Astyanax mexicanus: one gene and its partner. The protein of the gene in region 1 binds, or shares a complex with, the protein of each later gene. Links are inferred from orthologs where the notes say so. Each region holds a gene or a part of one and is shown on either strand. Other genes may lie near its edges.

Region 1 (7,372 bases):
TCGTGGCGGTTGTGGGGTGCACTGGAGCGCTGTTTGGTGACTGTTGGCTCCTGGTCTTGGGGAGCTTGTCGCATCTCACTGCTGGCACTTATACTTACCTTCCACCTGTACGGAGGCCTCCTGCTGCTCGGTCTCATCCTGGCCTCTGTGGCCGGGATCCTGTACAAGTTCCAGGACGTGCTGCTGTACTTCCCTGATCAGCCGTCATCCTCACGGCTGTATGTCCCTATGCCCACGGGAATTCCACATGAGAACGTATACGTACGCACTAAAGACGGTGTGAGGCTGAACCTGATCTTGCTCCGCTACACTGGCGAGAATCCTGCTTCTGCCCCCACTATTTTGTATTTTCACGGTAATGCAGGAAACATTGGGCATCGAGTTCCTAATGCCCTGCTCATGCTCGTCAACCTGAAGGCCAACGTAGTTCTGGTGGACTACCGAGGTTATGGGAAGAGTGACGGAGAACCCAGTGAAGAGGGGCTTTATCAGGACGCCGAGGCCACCCTGGACTACATCATGTCACGACCAGATATTGATAAGACTAAGATGGTACTGTTTGGGCGTTCGTTGGGTGGCGCCGTGGCCATAAGGTTGGCCTCAGTCAACCCTCACCGTGTGGCTGCCATCATGGTCGAAAACACTTTCTTGAGCATCCCACACATGGCAGCGACCCTCTTCTCCTTCTTTCCAATGCGTTACCTGCCCCTCTGGTGCTACAAGAACAAATTTCTGTCCTACAGACACGTGGCACTGTGTCGCATGCCCTCTCTTTTCATTTCTGGCCTGTCAGACCAGCTCATTCCCCCCGTCATGATGAAGCAGCTGTATGAGCTGTCGCCCGCACGGACTAAACGCCTCGCCATCTTTCCAGAGGGCACGCACAACGACACCTGGCAATGCCAGGGCTACTTTGCAGCTCTGGAGCAGTTCATGAAGGAACTGTTGAAAAGCCATGCCCAAGAGGAGACATCCCAGGGCTCAGCCAGTGTCACCATCATCTAGAACATTGACTGAGCCCACTGGAGCTGCTGTAATGGAATGTACATTTTAAAAAAAAATGTCTCTCTTCTTCTCTTTCTTTCCTCTCCCCATTTTTAGCACTTAATTTGGTGGTATGATATTTACGCTTTCAAGTATGTGGTTTTTGATTGGAGCAGGTTGCATTGTTAAATGCCTTTGAAACCTTTATTTTCCCTGTTTTGTTTAAAATACGAGTGCATGACCGGCTTCTGTAATGTAATGCCCCTTTAGCCTTGTTTTGATTGCACACACTCATTCACTCTGACTGTACAGGACTTTTCTTTTATACTTTAAGGACTTTACCATCATTGGTATACACCAAATGTCCACTCACTGCAAGTCCTACTGTATAATAAAGATATTTGCCTAATAATGTCAGGCAAAGTGTAAAATATTTGTCAGTTTTTTATTATTTTTACTTTTTTCTTTTTCATCTTCACTGCCTTCAAACAGTAAACATCACTTCACTGTTGGAAACACTAAATTCTAAGGGCTCTGTTTTCAAATGCAAAGCCCACTGGGACTGGCAACAGGTTTTGCCACCTTCTCTTTGCTTATAGATGGAGCTTCAATGTCAGCTCAGGAAATTGTTTATTTGTCTCAGAGAATCATCTACCTTGTAGAAGTCCTCCTAGGTTGCAACTGAATGATGGTGTAAGTTTGCTTTGTTGTTCTTAAATTTATATACTTTTTTCCCCCAGAGCAGAAGGTAGGCATGATTCAACTTTGAATCTTGGAATATTGTAGTGGAGTAGTGGGTCCAGACGTATGTCCTATTATTAACATAATAACAAAGTAAATGTAGCCAAAAAGTGGCTTGACAGTGCAGATCATTTGCACATCAGGTACATATGTTTTTTCTTGTAGATACATGATGCCACATTAAGAATGACATCATTAAAACACAACAAATAAGAACCCTCTCAGTGTTTTGAGTGGCCCAGCACTCAAAAAAATGAATTGACCTTTTATATGTGCAGTCATTTAAAGCCTAACCAATCAAAGCAGGCATTTGGAAAGTATTTGTCAGTGCGAATGTGTTAATGTAAGGTCTTTCATATGCATGATTCAACATTAAAATCAGGCTTAATTTGTGAAACATTATAAATGTGGTCTTTTGTAACGATGAGACTTGTAATGGAAGGATATTGTCGTACCTGTTGTCGGTTGTTTGTTTGGCATGAAGTGCATGTAATGTTTCACTCTTTTCATTAGAGTATATTCGGGTGGAGAAGTCAGATATGTGGAATTGAATGATTTGTTAGCTCCCTTTATCCAATATTCCAGTTATATGAGTCACATAAAGAAAAATTGATACCCAAATTATACTTTTTTTTCCATATTTTTTTCTTAATTGTAACAAAAAGCCGATGTGAATAATCTCATTCTCTTGCTTTCAGAGTCTCCATGAATCTTGTTGTAACGAATACACTTTATTAAAAACATAAAACAGCATTACTTGTGCATAAACTACAACTATGTTTCTCTAATCATCCTGCTGGATGCTGTTTAATTACACTAAACTATAATAGTGTAGTGTGGTTTAGGTCTGGCAGACTAGAACTTTAGCACAGTGACAGTTTACGAGGAAAAAAAAAAGTGTGGATGAATCTTTGGAAGTAGATTCAGACTTTAGAGCAATTCCACATGTTTACCTCACTGTCTGCGTTTCTGTGTGTGCTCTCCATTGCAGGTTTTCTACCTCATTGTCTGCACTTTTACTTTTTGGTGTTTTATGCAAAGTATCAAAAAGAAGCACCATTTATTAACTTTTTTTTTTGTAGTACCGAAACATTCCAGTTGCTGCCTTTTTTGCTATAGAATTTCAATACCCAACCCTAATAACCAATAGAATAAAAAGCATTATTTGCTGCTTCACTCAAGTGAAGTCATATCTTCCATCTCTATATCGGCTGCACTGAATGGGCGGATGTTGTTGACATCCAGGCAGAATGTGATCCACTGTTATGTCATGTTTGGAAGAGTTGAGCACTTTTTAAAGAATGTACACTTGCAGCCTCCAACCAAAATAATCTCTGTTCAGCAATAATGCAGTGTTCAGGTTGAGTGTCTGCTGTGGAATATTGTTGCTGTTTCTTACTGAGCCGGTGTTTGTAATGGAATCGGACGGATGTGGCTGCTTATGTGCAGTCCGGTGGAGTGAGTCAGATCCAACAGTGAGAAAATGTTCTGAGGAGCTGCAGATGGAGTGTGGTCACTGATGTGTTTCTTTGATATTATTTTGAGTTTCCTATAAATAGCCTGCATTTCATGTTCATGGCTCTTTAGAGGAGTCTTTAGAAATTCTGGACTGGTAGCGGAGGTTTAGCACCACAGATGATGGCTGTGTTTGAATTGAAGCTATCGTTGTTTGTTTCATTCTTTACTCTTTTTTTTTTTTTAAGAAATATTATAATAGAATTTTTAAGTGCTGAAGAAGGGGATACTGGATTTTGGGCAATAGTGTCTTCGCAAAGTATGAATTTCCTTAAGGACTCAGTGGCTGCGTTCCAAAACCTAGGCGTCAGTGGGGCGAAATGGGACTGATCCTCAGTAGGACTGTCCTGTGAAGGCACCTACTTAGAAGCTTATTGATCACGCAAATAGGAGTAGTCTTATATGGGCTAAATCCTATTTTACCCCTTGGCTCTACCCCTCTGTTTTGCTTGTGCATTTCTAGGGGTAGGGTGTCCTGACTCTTGTTAGGCTGGAGTATTCTGTATTTTTTTAATATTTCTTTTTTAATTCCCATTCCAGTGTCTGAATATATACTAACGATGAAAATTATTTAGAATAAATGAGTTGTACTTTTAAAAGGTGAGTGGTGAGTAACTACATTATTATGTTATTCAGTGGCTTAAAATTTGTGGCATTAAATTGACAGTGATATCATTTGTTATATCATTTGCATATTATTGCAATTTACAATTGTTCTAAGTAAAATATACTGTCCAAAAATGTAGTTCTTGTGACTGGCCTACTTACTGCCAGCTAATTTTACACTTGATCAGTTTCAATTTAATCTTTGCCATATTCTATTTTTAAAGATGAAGGGTGGTGGACAATGGATTCATACTGTCATATTTGCCAAATTGTTGCACTTTAATTCACACCATTGATGTATATAGCTGTGGATATTTTTTAAAGTATACTTGTGGTTTGTTTGTAATCACATCACATGTTTCTGTTCTCTGTGTGCAATAAAGAAACCAAGCCGCAGGTTCTGATATTGCGTCTGAAAGCTTGCGTGTTTCCATATTGAAGCTGTGTCTGGTTCCTGTATTGCATTTTTCCTGTAATAAGATGAGTTTCATTTTGTTTCATTGGAAATGAGCTTTTGGTTACATTTTGTTTTTGTGCTTTTGTGTTTGGAGTGTTTTTTTTGGAGCATTTATTTATTTATTACACATTTTCTGGCAGACCTGCATGGAAAGGTGGCGTAGAGGCGTAGAGCGAGGAAGAGAGCGCGAGAGAGAGCGAGAGAGCACGAGAAAGCAAGCTTGGCAGGAAGCTGCACAGCGCTGGTTAACGGCTTGAAATAGAGGCAGGGCGCTGACACTACGCTCTGCTGCGTTCCCTGTCCAGCCACTTTATACAAGGAATACATCTGGGCACAAGAACCTGACCAGAATTAAATTATTCATAGGAAAGCCTCAAAGTACTTTATGGTAAGTTTGTTCACTTGTTTTTCGTTAGTCTGTCCTGATGCAGGCATTGTCATCAGATCTGTCAGGACCTGAGTTTAGAATAAAATTGTTGACCAATCTGTTGGCTGTGTATTATGAAATGCAGATTTTTACAGATGTATTCCAAAGTTGAACCAGAGGACATGAAACTAAAGAGGGTTTAATGAACTTGAGAGTGAAGCGCCTTCATGCATTTGGCTTCGTGCTGAGGGTAGGTTTATAATTTGCATGCCACAAAAGACTTCCTTTTACTGACAACCACAACAAATGATCTAAAAATGAACTTTGTCAAAAACTGTGTCTTCCAAATTTCTCTGTGCACAGCAGAAGCTGAACTCTGAAAAAGCTGACTTGGATGCTGAAGAAGCTGAAATCTGAAGAAACTGTTCTCTGTTAAAGCTGGACTCTGAAGAAGATGAACTCGACTCTGTAGAAGCTGGACTCTGTAGAAGCTGGACTCTGTAGAAGCTGAACATTGAGTTCCTCAGACTGTAATGCCAGCTTTGGATGTTGCTCCATCTCGGGCCTAACTTGAGGCTGACTTGAATGCTGAAGAAGCGGGACTCTGTAGAAGCTGGACTCTGAATCAGTGGAACTCTCTAGATAATAAACTCTGTAGAAGCTGGACGCTGAGGAAGCTGGACTCTGAAGAATCTGGACTCTGAAGCAGTGGAACTCTGTAGATAATAAACTCTGTAGAAGCTGGACGCTGAAGAAGCTGGACTCTGTAGAAGCTGGACGCTGAGGAAGCTGGACTCTGAAGCAGTGAAACTCTGTAGAATCTGGATGCTACGGAAGCTGGATGCTAAGGAAGCTGGACACTAAGGAAGCTGGACGCTAAGGAAGCTGGACGCTGAAGAAGCTGGACGCTGAGGAAGCTGGACTCTGAAGCAGTGGAACTCTGTAGAAGCTGAACATTGAGTTCCTCAGACTGTAATGCCAGCTTCAGGTGTTGCTCCATCTCGGGCCGAGAGCCGGAGGCTCTCTTGGGCAGTTGCTCTTCTGATCTTGGCTGCCATCACCTCATCCTCCCTGTCGGCTCTGTCTCTGTACCATGTGCTGGCTCTGCAGGCCGAGGTGGAGGGGCTGAGGACTGAGGTGAGCCGCAGGCGAGAGGAGCAGAGGAGTGCCCTGGATGAAGGTGTGAGAGGAGCTCAGTCTCAGCAGCAGCAGCAGGAGGAGGAGGAGGATGACCGGAACAAAGCCGAGGTGAGAAATACCTGCTGAAGGAAAGAAGCCATGCAGATCCATGACTCTAAGGCAGGCCAGGTCAAATATTTTCACTCCTTATTAGAAGTGTTGAATATTTTTGGCCAGCACATTTGAGTAGTTTACCAGCTCCAACATGCGTGATGTAACTAATCATTTAGTAAACAACCATTTCCTGAGCTGAAGGAGATATGGTCTTAACAGTAGAGCAACATAGTTATATGTAGGTCACGGGGAACTCCAGGACCAGGATTAGGTAGCTGTGCTTTAGAACAAGGCTCTACAACAGGAGAATCATTTATTCTAAGTACAAAATGTTACACAACAAGTCTTTCAGGGTATCCTTTTTTTATTGGATTTTTTTTTTTTAAAAACTAGGATTAACACCAGTGAACATTTAATTTCCTTATTCATTATTGCTTTTAGTAATTTAATGAAATGTAATAATCCAAAAAAATGTGTTTATACTAAGTTAAATCAGTTCACCCTGGAAGGTTTGCCTTTACTTGTACTTTAGTCATGATCTTCCTGGCTCGGGGTGCTGGAAAATGCAAGCTATTTTTTAAACTACCATTCATACAGAGAAAAACAATTATTCTGTGATCTTAATCGTTTGCTGGAAATGACTGCAGTCATTGGTTGTCCTTTTAATCAACTCTCATTAAAGTTGAATGCCAAGACTGCTGTCACATGGACTGATTAATACCACACAGGTATGAGCATATCCATTGTTGTCTGATAGTTGTATCCTTCACACTTACACACCTTCATTAAAGAGCCAAAAGTCTGCATTAAAGACATGATCCAAAAGCTCACTATTAGAACACCAAAAAGTACTGAAAGGTCGATTTTAGTGTAAATTTTAATTTTAATTTTTAATTTTAAGTCATGTATCATTTTCATTCCATCTCACACTTATGCAGTACTTTGTGTTGGTTTATCACTTTAAAATAAAATACATTTACGTTTGTGGTTGTAAGGTGACAAAATGTGAAAAAGTTTAAGGGGTATGAATACTTATATACTTTTACTTATATATATATAAACGTGCCAAATGTGGAGAGAGTGCACAGAAACGAGGACAGCAGGGTAAACATGTTGAAGTGCTCTAATGTCTGACTCTACTGCCTTTTATTTGTTCTTCTCTTGCTGCAGACTAGCAGTGTGGTGCCCACTGAGCTGGAGATGAGTGTTTCTGGGGGGCAGCAGGATCAGCCAAGCTTAAAGAAGAGAAGTCTGGGAAGTGAGTCAGGTCAATCAGGCAAGCCCCTTTCTGCTGTTTGTTCAGCTGTGCAGGGGACTTCCAGAGCTGCACTTACCCTGACTATAGTTTTAGTATTATTAGTGTAGTTATATATGTATAGTTTTAATATTATTACTGTAAATGAACGAGCATTGTCTAAGAAGTGCGTCTTTATTATGTCAATAGGACTGGGTATCAGTCTGTGCTTATT
Region 2 (7,346 bases), on another chromosome or scaffold:
ATTTTTAAATAACATTTTGCTGTATGATCTGTCCATCTGACCATTGTTTATTAAATTATGCCAAATAACTACACAGGCAAAGTGTATCAAGTTGAAATTAAGCAAAATGTTAAGTTAAAAATATTTCAAATATTTACACTGCTAATGTTTGAAGAGTTCAGAAATCAATCTTTGGTGGAATTACCCTGATTTTTAATCACAGTTTTCATGCACATTGGCATGTTGTTCTCCACCAGTCTTACACACTGCTTTTGGGTGACCTTATTCCACTCCCTACTGAAAACCTATGGAATGTAATCAAGAAGAAGATAGATGACCAGAAGCCATCAAACAAAGCTGAACTGCTTGAAGCCAGGAGTGGCGTAAGATCACCCAAAAGCAGTGTGAAAGACTGGTGGAGAGCATTTCGAGACACATGAAAGCTGTGATTAAAAATCTTGGTTATTCTACCAAATATTGATTCTAAACTCTTCCTTAGTTAAAACTTTAATATTGTTGTTTCTAAATGAGTATAAACTTAGTTTCTTTGAATTTTTGAAAGCAAATAAGATTTTCTGCAAATAGATGCTCTAAATTACAATATTTTTATTTGGAATTTGGGATAAATGTTGTCAGTAGTTTATAGAATAAAACAACAATGTTTATTTTACTCAAACATATACCTATAAATAGTTAAATCAGAGAAACTGATTATTTTAAAGTGGTCTAATATTTTTTTCCAGAGCTGTATATATAATGCATATATATGATATTTGATATTAATATTTAAATTTGTATTTTTATTTAATGTTTTAATTCATTCTTGAGATTACTTTCTGAGGAAAATAGAGGGGTCTGAAAAGCAGTTAAATTGGCAACACTTTGTTTCAACAACAACTACTGTTTTTTTTTAGGCACATGCTATTTGCACCCGGGTGTATGCAGCAGTGTGTGCTATTTGCACCCGGGTGTATGCAGCAGTGTGTGCTATTTGCACCCGGGTGTACATAGCAGTGTGTGCTATTTGCACCCGGGTGTACATAGCAGTGTGTGCTATTTGCACCCGGGTGCAAATAGCACACACTGCTGCATACACCCGGGTGCAAATAGCACACACTGCTGCATACACCCGGGTGCAAATAGCATGTGCCACACAGCAAGGCTATTTTCACCCCTTAATTAAAAAAAAAGAAAGAGAACTCATCTGCGCATGTCTACCAATGAATGCGAGGGAGCGAAAAGGCGCAAATTCACAGATGTTGTTTCAGTAAAAGGTTTATTTCCTTTATTCATGACTGGAATTTACTGTATTTATGTTCGTTTGGTAGCAAAAACTAAAATGCGGTGGAAAGCCTCCGTGTCGCGCCGCGCGCTCTCCCTGCACAGAGGAATCTCGCAGCGCAGAGCCGAAAGCTGTAACACTAGAACATTAATATTAAGCAGGTTAGAAACGTAGATAACTGACGGTGATCATGCATGATCTGTTATGAGATCCTGAGATCACCGTCATTTATCTACGTTTCTAACTGACGGTATGTGCTCTTTTCCCTCCGTTCCCTGCGCTGCAGGCCAAGCAGTTACAATTAAAATCAAAATACTGCGGCTTTAATCTCGTAATATTACGACTTTAATCTCGTTATATTAGACTTTATTCTCTAATTAAGAGTTGCCCTAAAACGCCACCGCAGAAGGCATGAACATCGCCGGAGACTGTGTTTATCCTGCCTGTGCATGCATGAACTAGAAATAAGAGTTGGCTTAATCGTTCGCTGGAATAAAAGAAATCGTTCGCACGAATTAGAGAAATTGTTGGCATGAACTGCTACATCGTTCGCTCGATTTAATTATTTTTTTTTACCCACGGCCCCTCCCGGGCTCTGTACTAGCCAGCAATAAGCTAGCTAGCTAGCTAAATTAATCAGAATAAGCAACAAAATACAAAACTTTTTACTTAATAACTAAGATAAGGTTAGATACAAGTTACCTAACTGCCTCAAACTTTAATTCAATCAAATAACTTAAACTGAGATCCACCAAAACACTAGCTTAGCTTATTCGTTTTCAGTCAACAGTGTTCGATAGATAATAATTCTCACACTCTGTCTTAAATATTTATCTTAAAATGTAGAGTTAAATTGAGTGATGGGCCTTTTGTACATAAATAATAACCAAATTCTGCTTACCATTTCCTATGGTCTCCGTTTCCCCATCTGTGAATTTGCGCCTTTTCGCTCCCTCGCATTCATTGGTAGACATGCGCAGATGAGTTCTCTTTCTTTTTTTTTTAATTAAGGGGTGAAAATAGCCTTGCTGTGTGGCACGTGCTATTTGCACCCGGGTGCAAATAGACACTCCGTTTTTTTTATTATTGTTACATTGCAGTGGATACTGGGAATTTTTATGAATAAACTCAATATTAATAGAATACCTAAATAATTTTACGACTCCACTGGCCTTGTGTTTGCCACATGGGCTGTTGAGTTAGTTAGTGAGTTTTAACCATGATCTTTTAGGGTATTAGTTATCCATGTTTGATCCATTTCAAATTTACCTTCCCTGATTAAACTAACTACTGCTTTTAGATGTCATTATTTGGCTGAAGGAGATATCATGGACTAATGTAAGAGTATTTTCACACCTGTAGTTGGTAAGAAGTATATGGTTAAGAGTGAGCAAAAGGAATTCAGAACAGTGTGACACTGTAAAATAAATGTTTGAGAGGACCCTGATCATTTCTGTATGCTAATGTTGATTGTGTTCTAATTATGTGAGTGCTGTGTTGACTATGGCAGTTTATTTCTAAATGAAAATGTAATAATATTTATATTAAAATATACAGTTTTATTTGGGTATTAAAGAATCACAGTGAAGCTATCTGGTACCTCTTTTATTGTCTATTGTAAGTATATCAAATCCTTATAGTATTAGAATGTATTATGCTATTGGAAAGCATTACTTGCTGACTGTACAAATCCTTCTGAGATATACCAATTATTTTGTCCACGGTAGTGAACATACTGTATCAGTCAAGATATTGTAGATTAATGTTCAAGACATGAAAACAATTAAAGGACACATATAAAATTATATTAAAAAATATTGTTGGAGTTGCTAATCAAGGAACTCCTTCAAGAGGCTGAAAAAAAATTCCAGGAGACTCTACCTCATGAAGACACTGATATTAAAATACCAAGAGTGCAGATCTGTCCTCAAAGCTTAGTTGTGCTCCTGTACAGATTTAATATCTTCAATATTAAAATTACAATAAAAAAAATCATAAAAAGAAAGAAAACACATTAGATAAGAAGAGGTGTGCCCAAACTTTTGATTGGTACTTTAACCTACTAGTAAAACTCTGTATGCACTCTGTTTCAACTGTACAGTCAAAAGGACATCCTGGGATTTCCAACTAGGCCCACTTGTGGGGGTGTGGCCAACAGAGCACAGATACTTTCTTTTCAAATCGCAAGGGGGGAGGGATGTGATATATTTTTAGATATTTTGCTGGTGTTGCTAATAATCAATTTGTTTCTTTAAAATGAGATTTTCCAGTTTTGTAAGATATTAGTATACATTTTTTTTACCATTTCCAACCACAGATTTCCTTGGAAAATCAGGAAAAGACTTGAAAATTAATACAACCCCTACATTTTGAGACCAAGCAATATAGCCACAGTTCGCTACAAGGGACGTAAAGCTCTGAAAAAAAAGAGACCACCCTAAATGTAGATGCATTTATTTTCAGAAAATGAGAAATGGCTGAAATAACAAAAAAGATGCAGAGCTTTCTGACCTTTTCAGAAGTTCATATTCATAAAGTTTTGAGAGTTCAGAAATTAATATTTGGTGGAATAACCCTGGTTTTTAATCACAGTTTTCATGCATCTTGGCATGTTCTCATCCACCATTCTTACACACTGCTTTTGGATAACTTTATGCCACTCCTGGTGCAAAAATTCAAGCAGTTCAGCTTGGTTTGATGGCTTGTGATCATCCATCTACCTCTTGATTATATTCCAGAGGTTTTTAATTTGGTAAAATTTAAGAAAATCATAATTTTTAAGTGGTCTCTTATTTTTTTTCCAGAGAATATGAATATTAAAATATTTTTTTCGGGATCTCAGGAGTAAAGTGTAAAGTATCAGTAAGCTAACAATACGTCAGTATCTCTCGTGCTTTGAATCATCATGAGAGTGCAAAGAAGAAGAACAGCAGAAAAGAGGAGAAGAGTAATCATGAGACTTTACTTGAACATCTCTCAGGTTAAAAAAAAACTGAACTTTAGGATGAGTTTGTTCAACTGTACAGGGACTTCCCCTTCCTCAGCGATTATTTACATACTGCAAATATAAATACTGTTTTCTCGAGATTAGGATCGATTCACAGCCCTCGCTGAAAGATGATCCTCTACTTATGGCTTTTCCTTTATATCGCTGCCATAGCTGAGGGCAAATGTGAACCCAATTTCTATCCTGATAAACTTATGGAGAACTGTCAGCACTGCTCCAAGAGATGCAACTCTCCTCCACCCGACTGCACCACGTATTGTAGGCCTTCCTCCTGTAAGTACGCCTGTTCGTGCGCTGATAAATGATTTAGTAGCTATAGGCTTTGTGATGCTGTGACAGGTTAATGTTTATGATGGCCTTATTGCATGTAATGGACCATATGATATAAAATCATTAGCAGAGTAAAAATGTAACCCTCCAATTATCTTTGAGGTAATTTAATTGATCCTATTGAGTGTTTAACACAGTTTAATTTTGTGTTTAACGTCTAATATCTTTTTTTCTAAATTATAGAGGCCAAACAGGTAAATAAAATTAGGATGGAATAATGATCTGATGCTTAAACTTTGCTAACAGGTTTAATAATTATAATATTTTTTGGAGGTGTATATTTTGGGGTCAAACTGACTTAAGGATTATAGAATGTAAGTAAATTCTGAGGATAACAGAAGGTGGCAAGTTTTGTGGTTTGGGGAATGATTAGGCCTTAACATGGGGCATATATTACCAGTCAAAAGTTTGGACACACCTTCTCATTCAATGTTTTTCTTCATTTCCTTATTTGATGTATTTGCTAATAGTAAATACATTTAAACAATTAAGTGACACATATGGAATTATGTAGTAAACAAAAAAGTGTTTATCCTCCACAATCCCCTGATCTTAACCCAACTGATATGGGTGAGCTGGACCACAGTTTGGAGGAACCTCCAGGACCTCCTTTAAGAGGATGAGAAAACTATTCCAGGTGACTCTACCTCATGAAGACATTGAGATTAAAATACCAAGAGTGTGCAGATCTGTCCTTAAAGCTAAATGTGCTACATAGAAGAATCTTAAGCATAAAACATATTCTGGTTTGTTTAACACAAAATAATTCTGCATATGTTTCTGTATAGCTTTAATATAGTCTTCAATATTAATTTTACAATATAAAAAATCATAAAAAGAAAGAAAAACACACATTGAATGAGAAGAAGTGTGTCCAAACTTTTGACTGGTACTGTATATTGGTGTTAAAACCTTTTTTTATTATACTGTTTAGTGTGACAGATGTCCTATTACATAATGTAGTATCAGAAGTATACCACTAAGTGTTATGTGAAACCAGTGCATGTGACAATTATGCAAAAATCAAGAGAGGACAGATATGGCTGAACACTACAGAAATGCAGCAGAGTTTCAGTCAGTTGTGACTAATAAACATCTCTCCTATAATCAATGGTCACATTAATTAATAGGACAGAAATTGTGAATGTGTGAATAAATGTGTGTTTGTGTGTCTTATACAGCTGGGAAGAAAGAAGCTGGAGAAAACCAGAATGCACGTATAATCCTCATAGTGCTTATTGTGTTTCTCGGCACTTGTTTGGCGCTGATGGGAATCCTGACGGTCATTCGTAGGAAGGCCTGTAAGCACGTCCTCATAGCTAAAGGTATAGAGAGTGTTAAAGAGTAACGGTTTATTTTACCTTGAGTGTATTGACAAATATCTTTCAATAATGATTACTTATCTTAGTATCTATAATTACATAATTATTGTGTGAAACCTTGTATTTTATAGGCATTAACCAATACTCACATTATATTTGATCATTTTTACTCACAGTGTATTTTACACGCATTTATATAAAAGATTAACCAATAATCACAATATATCCTTTACACATATAGTAAAACATTGTTTGATATGGCATGTGACTAACACAGACTTTATTATATGACAGATTAACCCACATTAACATATAACATATGAGATGTAGCTCAGGCTTGAAGTATTTTGTTTTACTGCATGACCCTAACTAACGGTCATCAATTCGACTGGTACGGGGCTAATTTGCTACAAAAAGGCTATTAGATCAAAGCAGCCTTTTGGTCAGTGAGTGCCTCCCTAAAAAACCTCTACTTCAAAGCGGGGGGTGACGCACACACACAGATAGTGCCATGAGGTTCCATTCTGGAAGAATACAGTCAAGGTCAAACACTAGTGGTCCAGTCAGACACGTGAAACTTCAGTATTAACACGTGCATGCTAACATGAGATGATTTTAACAACGCCTCATCAACAGGCTTACGTCATTTTGGGTATAAAACATGGAGTCAGATCAGAGGGGGTCAGAACTCTTACTTAGACGGCTGTAACACTGTCTTATATGTATTGGTTCTCCTGAATATTCAGTACTTTGTAATAAATACTTGGTTTGCTTTCAGCTTCACTCCACCTGTCTGACTCTCTCTATCAAACGAACACGCAGGGGAAGTTGTACCCCGGACGAGAGGTGGGGGTAGCCCACCTTTCATTTTCTTTTCTACAACAGTGTTCTACACACCCTTTACTGTAGTGTGTTTTCAGTCTTGGTTGCAGACCATAATTTTATATTTAATATGGGTATTTTGTTAATAATATTGGACAAAATTATTTTTTTCAAAATATGTAATATATCACAGTGGTATACTAATAATGTGTAATATGCTTTTTCTAACAAGGAAAATATTTATTTCCTTTCTATTTTCTTCCAAAAATCTTCTGTAGATCTGTTGAAAATTGTTGTATGATATATACAGCTCTGAAAAAAATAAGAGGACACTTAAAAATTATGTTTCTTTGATTTTACCAAATTGAAAACCTCTGGAATATAATCAAGAGAATACTGGATGTTCACAGCCATCAAACCAAGCTGAACTGCTTGAACTTTTGCACCAGGAGTGGCATAAAGTTATCCAAAAGCAGTGTGTAAGACTGGTGGAGGAGAACATGCCAAGATGCATGAAAAATGTGATTAAAAACCAGGGTTATTCCACCAAATATTTAATTCTGAACTCTTAAAACTTTATAAATATGAACTTGTTTTCTTTGCA

Evidence for each region. The genes of interacting proteins can lie anywhere in the genome.
Region 2: the proteins of tnfsf13b (region 1) and tumor necrosis factor receptor superfamily member 17 are in contact, whole or in part, in a crystal structure (PDB 1OQD), measured with the Homo sapiens proteins. The link is inferred for Astyanax mexicanus from reciprocal best matches to the Homo sapiens genes TNFSF13B and TNFRSF17. Residues at the interface, in NP_006564.1 of Homo sapiens: Ser162, Tyr163, Lys204, Thr205, Tyr206, Ala207, Met208, Gly209, His210, Arg231, Cys232, Ile233, Glu238, Pro264, Arg265, Glu266, Asn267; in NP_001183.2 of Homo sapiens: Tyr13, Asp15, Ser16, Leu17, Leu18, His19, Ile22, Arg27, Ser29, Ser30, Asn31, Thr32, Pro33, Pro34, Leu35.

Annotation. Positions count from the first base shown.
Region 1 is NC_064418.1:9,596,474-9,603,845, reverse strand, and holds the start of tnfsf13b (tumor necrosis factor ligand superfamily member 13B), read left to right. Parts: upstream 1-4,347; 5' UTR 4,348-4,691; intron 4,692-4,815; 5' UTR 4,816-4,920; intron 4,921-5,033; 5' UTR 5,034-5,645; coding exon 5,646-5,918; intron 5,919-7,073; coding exon 7,074-7,179; intron 7,180-7,372. Other genes in the region: protein ABHD13, read left to right, coding at 1-1,005. UniProt on the Homo sapiens protein: Cytokine that binds to TNFRSF13B/TACI and TNFRSF17/BCMA. TNFSF13/APRIL binds to the same 2 receptors. Together, they form a 2 ligands -2 receptors pathway involved in the stimulation of B- and T-cell function and the regulation of humoral immunity.
Region 2 is NC_064422.1:23,727,216-23,734,561, forward strand, and holds the start of tumor necrosis factor receptor superfamily member 17, read left to right. Parts: upstream 1-4,282; 5' UTR 4,283-4,378; coding exon 4,379-4,541; intron 4,542-5,779; coding exon 5,780-5,923; intron 5,924-7,346. UniProt on the Homo sapiens protein: Receptor for TNFSF13B/BLyS/BAFF and TNFSF13/APRIL. Promotes B-cell survival and plays a role in the regulation of humoral immunity. Activates NF-kappa-B and JNK.